2 linked regions of the Macaca mulatta genome follow. The protein of the gene in region 1 binds, or shares a complex with, the protein of each later gene. Links are inferred from orthologs where the notes say so. Each region holds a gene or a part of one and is shown in the gene's direction. Other genes may lie near its edges. The genes, in order: HRAS and PLCE1.

Region 1 (4,571 bases):
TTTTGAGACGAAGTTGCGCTCTGTCACCCAGGCCGGAGTGCAGTGGCGCGATCTCGGCTCACCGCAACATTCGCCACCCGGGTTCCAGCGATTCTCCTGCCTCAGCCTCCTGAGTAGTTGGGCCTACAGGCTCGCGCCACTGCAGCCGACTAATTTTTTGCATTTTTAGTAGAGACGGGATTTCATCATGTTGGCCAGGCCGGTCTTGAACTCCTGACCTCAAGTAATCCACCTGCCTAGGCCTCCCAAAGTGCTGGGATTATAGGCGTGAGCCACCGCGGCCGGCCCCTTTTGCTTTTTTTTTTTTTTTTTTTTTTTTTTTAGACGGAGTCTCGCTCTGCCACCCAGGCTGGAGTGCAGTGGCCGGATCTCAGCTCACTGCAAGCTCCGCCTCCCGGGTTCACGCCATTCTCCTGCCTCAGCCTCCCAAGTAGCTGGGACTACAGGCGCCCGCCACCTCGCCCGGCTAGTTTTTTGTATTTTTTAGTAGAGACGGGGTTTCACCGTGTCAGCCAGGATGGCCCTTTTGCTTTTTAATGAGAATGTATTTCTGATTCCTTTGCAATTTAAAAAAATGTTAAAAAAAAAAAAAAACACGTCTTTTGGGGTTTGAAAGAGCTAGGATGTGGTCTTTGTGCTTGGGGTGAGCCCTGGGCACTTCGCTCTCCTGTGGCAACCTGTAGGTACCGTTTAACTGCACCACGCTGAGCTTCTGCATGGTTGGAACCTCAAGTCTGGGGGGACTGAGCGGGCAGGGTCGCCTGCCACGCAGGCCCAAGTAAGAGAAGTGGTGGAGGGGGCGTTCTCACGCCTGGCCCCAGGGAGCACGGCTGCGCCTGCCGCTCGAAACCCCACCGGAGCTGCAAGGCGTCCTCGGGGTGGGCTGAGGTGGGAGTAGGGGAGCTGGGGTGCGTGTGGTAGGTGGGGTGCGCGGAGGAGGCGGGGTGCGCACCGTCCGGGTGCGGGGCCACTCCACCTGCGCGGAAGGGGAGCCGGGCAACCGGACCCCGCGGCCACCCGGGGGCCCTCAGCTCCGAGCGGCCCGCCTTGGTCCCGACGGATCCCAGCCTTTCCTCAGCCGGAGCCCCGGGACCTCCGCGGTGGGCGACGCCGCGCTGCGGACGCAGGGAGGGCCTCGAGTGCACGGGCGCCGCTGAGTCGGGTTCTCTCGCCGGCCTGTTCCCGGGAGAGTCCACGGCCCTGCTCGGATATGCCGCCGCAGGCCCCCAGACACCTGCTCCCTCGCCCTCCTTGAGCAACCCGGAGCTTGCCTCCGCTCGCCGGCCTAGCCCAACCCCCCGAGGCCGCGGCCCTTCTGGCTCCGCCTCCCGCGTTGCTCCCGGAAGCCCTGCCCGACCGCGGCTCCTGACAGACGGGCCGCTCAGCCAACCGGGGCGGGGCGGGGCCTGGTGTAGCGCGGCCAATGGTAGGTCGCGCCGGGCTGACGGACGGGCGCGGGGTGGGGCGTGCGCGAGCCCGGTCGAGTCTCCGCCGCCCGCTCCCTGCGCCTGCAGCCCCAGCCGCACCCGCCGCGGACGGAGCCCATGCGCGGGGAGAACCGCGCGCCCCCGCCCCCGCCCCGCCCTGGCCTCGGCCCCGGCCCCGGGGGCAGTCGCGCCACTGAGCGGTGAGTGCGGGCCGGGGTCGGCCGGGCCGCGCGCCCTCCCCGCCCCCAGGCGGCAGCCATACGCGCGGCGCGGGCCGGGGGCGCGGGACCGGCGGGCGTGAGCGGCTGCGGCGGCGGTAGTGGGTGGGTGGGGCCGGGCCGGGCGGGGCCCCCAGGCACAGGTGAGCGGGCGTCGGGGGCTGCGGCTGGCGGGGGCGGGCTGAGGCCCCTTAGTCCCTGGGGCCTGCGGGAATCCGGGCCCCGCCCGTGGCCTCGCTCTGGGCACGGTCCTCACGCCGGCGTCCCCGGGAGCCTCGGGCCCGGCGCCCTCATAACCAGGCGCGTCTGGGCGGAGGCGGCCGCGGCCACGGCACGCCCGGGCACCCCCGATTCAGCATCACAGGTCGCGGACGAGGCCGGGGGCCTCAGCCCCGGGGCCCTTCCCCTCTCCGGGTCTCCCGCGCCGCCTCTCGGCCCCTTCCTGTGGCTCAGCCCCTGCTTCCCAGGAGCCCCTCTGTCTTTTCCAGCTTTCTGTGGCTGAAAGATGCCCCCGGTTCCCCGCCGGGGGCGCGGGGCGCTGCCCGGGTCTGCCCTCCCCTCAGCGGCGCCTAGCACGCAGTAGGCGCTCAGCAAATACTTGTCGGAGGCACCAGCGCCACGGGGCCTGCAGGCTGGCACTGGCCTGCCCGGGCACGCCGTGGCGCGCTCCGCCGTGGCCAGACCTGTTTAGGAGGACGGTAACCTCAGCCCTCGGGCGCCTCCCTTTAGTCTTTCTGCCGACCCAGCAGCTTCTAATTTGGTTGAGAGCGCTCAGCTGTCAGCCCTGCCTTTGGAGGCTGGCTCCCTTTTCCCCTCACTGGGTCCTTAACAGCAAGTGGGGGCGAGGCGACAGTCCTCCCCCGCGCTGGTTTGCAGCTGCACAGGTAGGCACGCTGCAGTCCTTGCTGCCTGGCGTTGGGACCCAGGGCCCGCTATGGGTTTGCTCTTCAGATGGCTCTGCCAGCAGCTGCCCTGTGGGGCCTGGGCCTGGCTGAGCAGGACCATCCTTGGCAGGTGGGGCAGGAGACCCTGTAGGACCCCGGGCCGCAGGCCCCTGAGGAGCAATGACGGAATATAAGCTCGTGGTGGTGGGCGCCGGCGGTGTGGGCAAGAGTGCGCTGACCATCCAGCTGATCCAGAACCACTTCGTGGACGAATACGACCCCACGATAGAGGTGAGCCTGGCGCCGCCGTCCAGGTCCCGGCAGCTGCTGTGGGCGAGCCCAGGACACAGCCAGGATAGGGGTGGCTGCGGCCCCTGGCCCTGCATGGTGCTCTGGGCCTGTCTCCTGCTTTCTCCAGAGAAGGGGAGCCCCTCGTCTCAGCACCCCAGGAGAGGGGGCATGAGAGGGGCATGAGGGGGCATGAGAGGGGCATGAGAGGTACAGGGAGAGGCTGGCATTGTGAACTCCCCGCATGGAGGGTCCTGAGGGGTCCCTGAGCTCTGTCCTCCTGCAGGACTCCTACCGGAAACAGGTGGTCATTGATGGGGAGACGTGCCTGTTGGACATCCTGGACACCGCCGGCCAAGAGGAGTACAGCGCCATGCGGGACCAGTACATGCGCACGGGGGAAGGCTTCCTGTGTGTGTTTGCCATCAACAACACCAAGTCCTTTGAGGACATCCACCAGTACAGGTGAACCCCTTGAGGCTGGCCCGGGAGCCCACGAGGCACAAGTGGGGTCAGGCCGGCTGTGCCCAGACAGGGGCCTCCTGTCCTCTCTGTGCATGTCCTGGATGCAGTCGTGCCTGCAGCCCCTATAGCCAGCTCTCACTTTTCCTCCCAGGGAGCAGATCAAGCGGGTGAAGGACTCAGACGACGTGCCCATGGTGCTGGTGGGGAACAAGTGTGACCTGGCTGCACGCACCGTGGAGTCTCGGCAGGCTCAGGACCTCGCCCGAAGCTATGGTATCCCCTACATTGAGACCTCGGCCAAGACGCGACAGGTGAGGCAGCTCTCCAGCCCACAGGTAGCCAGGGACTCGCCCCGCCCCGCCCCAGCCAGGGAGCAGCACTCACTCACCCCTCTCCCTTGACACAGGGCAGCCGCTCTGGCTCTGGCTCCAGCTCCGGGACCCTCTGGGACCCCCCGGGACCCATGTGACCCAGCGGCCCCTCGCGCTGTAAGTCTCCCGGGACGGCAGGGCAGTGAGGGAGGCAAGGGCCGGGGTCTGGGCTCACGCCCTGCAGTCCTGGGCCGACACAGCTCCGGGGAAGGCGGAGGTCCTTGGGGAGAGCTGCCCTGAGCCAGGCCGGAGCGGTGACCCTGGGGCCCAGCCCCTCTTGTCCCCAGAGTGTCCCACGGGCACCTGTTGGTTCTGAGTCTTAGTGAGGCTGCTGGGGACACTGGCCATAGCTCAGATGAGAGCTGGGTGCAGGGTGGTCAAACCCTGGCCAGATCTGGAGTTCAGGAGGGTCCTGGGCCACCCTGACCTTTGAGGGGCTGCTGTAGCGTGGTGCAGGTGGCCCTGGGCTCTTCGAGATGACCAGAGCCCAGCTTCCTGTGTGTGTGGTGGGCCTGGGGAAGTGGCTGGTGGAGTCGGGAGCCTTGGGCCAGGCACGGCTTGATCGCACAGCAGGGAACCCCTCACCTAGGCAGGGGGCCACAGGCCTGTCCCTCCTGATCCCATTCCTCCTTTTCCAGGGAGTAGAGGATGCCTTTTACACATTGGTGCGTGAGATTCGGCAGCATAAGCTGCGGAAGCTGAACCCTCCTGATGAGAGTGGCCCCGGCTGCATGAGCTGCAAGTGTGTGCTCTCCTGACGCAGGTGAGGGGGCTCCCAGGGCGGCCGCCACGCCCACCGGATGACCCCGGGCTCCCCACCCCTGCCGGTCTCCTCGCCTGCGATCAGCAGCCTCTTTTGTGCCCCGCCCAGCACAAGCTCAGGACATGGAGGTGCCGGATGCAGGGAGGAGGTGCAGA
Region 2 (4,260 bases), on another chromosome or scaffold:
CAAGACAGTTTAAGGACCAGACAGGCAGATTTTTCTTAACAGCAGGATTCTTTGGGCCTCCTGTGCATTCTTGCTCCAACCTCTCCTGTGTTCTGGAGCATCCAAGAAGGGGAGATCACTTTTAAGAGGGACCAGAAAGAAAGGGTCAAACATGAGCAGGAGGAAAGTGTGTGGGAGGAGGCAGTGATGCTCCGGGTAGAAGGCTCAGCTTAAGTTCAGGTACAGAGCTGGAGTGGGAGAGACATTCTGTTGGGTGATCCTTATTAGCCAGGGCATGCTGGGTTACTATAGCCATGGGGAGTTAGTCTGGAGGGCAATAGGGAGCCAATGAATGTTTCTGCATAGATTAAAGTTGTAAAAGAGGAAGAATAATACAGAGGTGGTTTGAAGAATTGATATGGTCCAAGGGAGAGGACAGTCGGAGGCGATATGGGCCACAGGAATGGGTCCTGATCAGATGTAGGAGAAGAGGTCAGGCCTAGGGAAGGGTCTTCCATTAGAACAGGTAGAGGCAGGAGGAACAGGTTTAGGGGAAAGGGAGGAGGATGATGATTTGATTTTTTTCCAGGTCCTAGGCTCTCGTAAGACTCATAAAAGCCGCTCCAGCGGCTAAGGAGGTTCTGTGCAGAGCCTATGGTTTCTAGCTGTTAAGATCTTCAGGTGTGCTTGAGCAATGAAAGAGTACTGGATTAGGAGTCCGCAGGCCTGGATGGCCCCGCATTACCAGCAAAAGGAGTATTTCCGGAGCCTGGCACAACGCTGGGCACATTGATGGGGCTCAATGAATATGTATTAAATGAACGAGTGACAGAACAGATTCGAGACTTGGTGCTGCCATCTACTACAGAGACCTTGATCGTGTCATTTATCTGCCGTGAGACTCAGTTTCCATATCTGTCAACCAGGGATGGTTCCCTGGGGTAGTGTGAGAGTACATTCCCGCCGCCTGAGGTGTGCAGAGTTCCCGCCCTTCCCGGAGCCGGGCGCCCCAAGAGCGCTCTCTCTGGCTCCCGCCAGAAAGGATGGCTCCTAGGGGCCAGGGTCAGGGGTCTGGGAAGGGGTCGTGCCGCCAGCAGCTAGCTCGGGGGAGGCGGCCGGGTCCTCGCTCCGCGCCCGCCTTCCCCGCACGGCGGGAGCCGGGGGCGGGCCCGGCACAGGCCGCTCCCCCGGCCGCTCGGCCGCCCGCGGCGGCGCTAGCGGCCTCTCACCCGGGGCGGGCGAGTTCTGGGAAAGCCCGGCCCAGGGCGGGGGCCCCGCTGCCGCCCGCGCAGCCGCCGCCGTCCGGGCAGCGCGCACAGCTCGGCGGGCGCGGACTGGGAACTGCGCGGGTCCACACGGTAACGCTGGGCAACGTGGGCAACGCGGCGGGCGGCGGGCGGCGGGAGGGGCAGCGGCGGCGCGCCCGGGCTCTGCCTCCCGGGCTCTGCCTCTCGGGCACTTGCCTGGCTCCTGCGCGTTCCTGGGCATCGGCTCTGCAGCTGACACACAGTAGCGGGGACACCCGGCGCCGCTAGCGACAGGCGCGCGGACGGCGGGTCCCAGAGGGACTTAGCGCTTGGGGACGCCGGCGAAACTCGCCAGGAGCGAAGAGGTGAGGAAGCGACTCTGTAACTCGGTTCCTGAGGACTGGAGAAGGGGAAGGATGGGCTCGTTCTCTCCCAAGGCAGTCGACCCGCCGAAGGGAGCAGCCCGACCCCGCGTACCTGGCGGAAGAGTGTCCTCGCCCTCCCGGGGGACCCGAGGCGGGTGGTACCCCAGGGCATGCAGGCCGCCCTCGCAGGGGCTAAAAGACACCCTGCCAGTACCTTCACTCCAGACGTCTGCCTCAGGTCACCCCTCCGTGTTGTGAGTGCGGTGTGGAGGGGCCAGTGCAAAGAAAATCATAAGCTCTTTTTGTGGCAGTGCTTAGCAGCAGTATTTCAAGGAAAGTGCTCAAGAGATTGTTCCTGGAGAGATTTGTGTACATCAAGTCCTAGAAAATACAATATTGGACCTGGTCCCGCTCTAACTGGTAACTAGAAGAATAGCTAGCTTTTCCTTCAAGTCCTTTAATGCCACAGTAATAAATAACACTAGAGCAAGAAGTCTTCTGTCGTGGCGAATGTTAGGTGCACAGCGTAAATTTGTGGGAGCTTTCGCCCCCTTGCTTTGTATTGAAGCCATGAGACACTTGGTTCAGCCGACTTAACCAATTATTCATTGTAAGACTCATTTAGTGATTAATCAGTGTCATTTTAAATAGTGAGTTCCCTGAATACATGTTAAGTAGGATTCACTTAAAACTTTTCACTCTTCGAAAAGTTATTTGCACGAAGGTCATAATTTCAGTTGCATTATGCAAAATTTGCCTGTAGGTCTTTTAGATCTCTGCAGGATTGGTGTGTTTTCATATTTCTTATACCCCCGAAGAGGTAAGGCAGGGCCACTGCCACAGAATGGGCGCTACTGTGGCCAAGAATGCTTGACCCCCCTAGGGAGAATTTTTGAGAGCCTGACTTGGGAGGTGGAAGCAGGTGACCCCATCGATGCTTGTACAGGTGCCCAGTTGTCATTGAGGAGAGAGGTGGACTATCTCTAGGTTACTGCATGCATCTATGTCTTCATGAATACTTTTCTGAAGAATGTCTCATGGTGTAGTCTTCTAAACCATATGATGGCACATCTTCTCCCACATCCACCACTCTAAAGTCTAACCATCCTTCAAACTGTGTTTTGCTGGTGTTGTGCGGCTTTTCCTGAAACAGCCAAACTCCGCCTGCTCTGATTCCTGCAGGATTTTTTCTCCAGGGCCCTTTCTGCTCTCCACCTTCTGAGAGTTATTTATGTAGATGTCTCATTTTCCCTACTAAAGGTATTTGCTGTGGCTTTCATGGCAAAATGCTTGCACTTAGAAGACTCTTTAGAGATAATTGTGGGCCAGTATTAAATCTTAAGATTTTGGTTTTACAACATAAATATCTACTTTGGAGAAGGAGACAATATAATTGAAAGGAGCTAGAGGAATGTATAATGTTTACCATTAACACTATCCTTTATTTACAGCCCCATGGGGGAAATTCCTTTTATACCTGGGAGCCTTGTCTAATAATCATCTTTGGTTCATGCCTTGGGACCAGGTAAGAGGTGAGATTGAACTGGAGGGACATTCTTCCAGTCCTCTTAGTAACATAAACTCCTGGGATGTGCTCCAAGTTTGACCTGTCATTAAAAATTCCATACTCCAGTGGGTTAGAAGCTAGATTCCAATGAAGGCAGTTGGTTTTCTTTTTCTATTTACAACCATTCTTAGTCACATTCTTCGCTGGGCTTTTGTTGTATACTCAAAAAAAAAAAAATCGTTTGATGTGCAATTTGTTACCTGTAACTTTCTAAATGAATAAAAGAAGATTGAAAAACTACTGTGTATGGTGGAAGAGTTTTCTAAAGTAGGCAGCAGGGGATGTTTCCCATGCCTGGGCAAGAGGAGGGATTTGCACAGAGTGAGGCTGTGCTGCACGTGTGTGCGCGTGCGTGTGTGTTCCACACGCCTGGCTGACAGGTGTCTATACAGGACAGTTGCTATGGTCCTAATGCCTTCTCTCTCTGCTGGAACTACTTCTGCGGTGGAAGAACAACAAAACAGAGCTTCTGGGTTCAGAAGCAGAGAAAAAGCCAAAAGCAGTAGAAGCAGCTTAGAGTGTGAATTTGTTTGCTGAAGTTGCTTTCCTCCCAACGTTCAGTTGAGATGTGTGGCATTGAGCAAGTAGGGGTTTGGTTGAGGGGAGGGAAGACAGGTGATTGGGGAGTATGGTGCTTCTGGAGGAGGGCTGGAAGGTTCTGATAGGGTTTTAGGGAAGCGTGTGATTTAATTATGTAAGGCCCAAAGAGGAGAGTTGGAGATGGAGGAGTAGGGAATGAAGAAAGAGAGGAAGAAGATATCAAAGATGCATTTTGTTATAGGCCGACCATGTGGCCTACAAAGAAGGGCAGAACTCTTTCTAGCGTCTTGTGTTCCTCTCTGCTCCCTGGATGCAGAATGCAGGGTTTTTACGGAGGCTATAATTCATCTGTGTTATGGCTTGAATAGATTTTTATGGGCCAGATTGGGAACCAAGCCCTCGGAGGCTGCATTGTCCAATATGGTAGTCACTAGCCACATATGGCTATTTACATTTGAATTGAAATTAGTTAAATGAAATTAACCAGCCATATTTCAAGTGCTTGAAAGCTACATGCAGCTAGTGGCTACTGTATTGGACAGTGCAGATATAGAACATTTTC

What was found.
Region 2: the proteins of HRAS (region 1) and PLCE1 are in contact, whole or in part, in a crystal structure (PDB 2C5L), measured with the Homo sapiens proteins. The link is inferred for Macaca mulatta from reciprocal best matches to the Homo sapiens genes HRAS and PLCE1. Residues at the interface, in NP_001123914.1 of Homo sapiens: Ile24, Gln25, His27, Val29, Glu31, Asp33, Ile36, Glu37, Asp38, Ser39, Tyr40, Arg41, Glu63, Tyr64; in NP_057425.3 of Homo sapiens: Phe2138, Pro2146, Glu2147, Gln2148, Pro2149, Arg2150, Thr2151, Val2152, Ile2153, Lys2154, Lys2171, Tyr2174, Ser2175.

Annotation. Positions count from the first base shown.
Region 1 is NC_133419.1:424,526-429,096, reverse strand, and holds the start of HRAS (GTPase HRas), read left to right. Parts: upstream 1-1,611; 5' UTR 1,612-1,627; intron 1,628-1,652; exon of another isoform or gene 1,653-1,788; intron 1,789-2,659; 5' UTR 2,660-2,709; coding exon 2,710-2,820; intron 2,821-3,103; coding exon 3,104-3,282; intron 3,283-3,433; coding exon 3,434-3,593; intron 3,594-3,688; exon of another isoform or gene 3,689-3,770; intron 3,771-4,291; coding exon 4,292-4,411; 3' UTR 4,412-4,416; intron 4,417-4,524; 3' UTR 4,525-4,571. UniProt on the Homo sapiens protein: Involved in the activation of Ras protein signal transduction. Ras proteins bind GDP/GTP and possess intrinsic GTPase activity.
Region 2 is NC_133414.1:105,930,498-105,934,757, forward strand, and holds the start of PLCE1 (1-phosphatidylinositol 4,5-bisphosphate phosphodiesterase epsilon-1), read left to right. Parts: upstream 1-1,263; 5' UTR 1,264-1,591; intron 1,592-4,260. UniProt on the Homo sapiens protein: The production of the second messenger molecules diacylglycerol (DAG) and inositol 1,4,5-trisphosphate (IP3) is mediated by activated phosphatidylinositol-specific phospholipase C enzymes.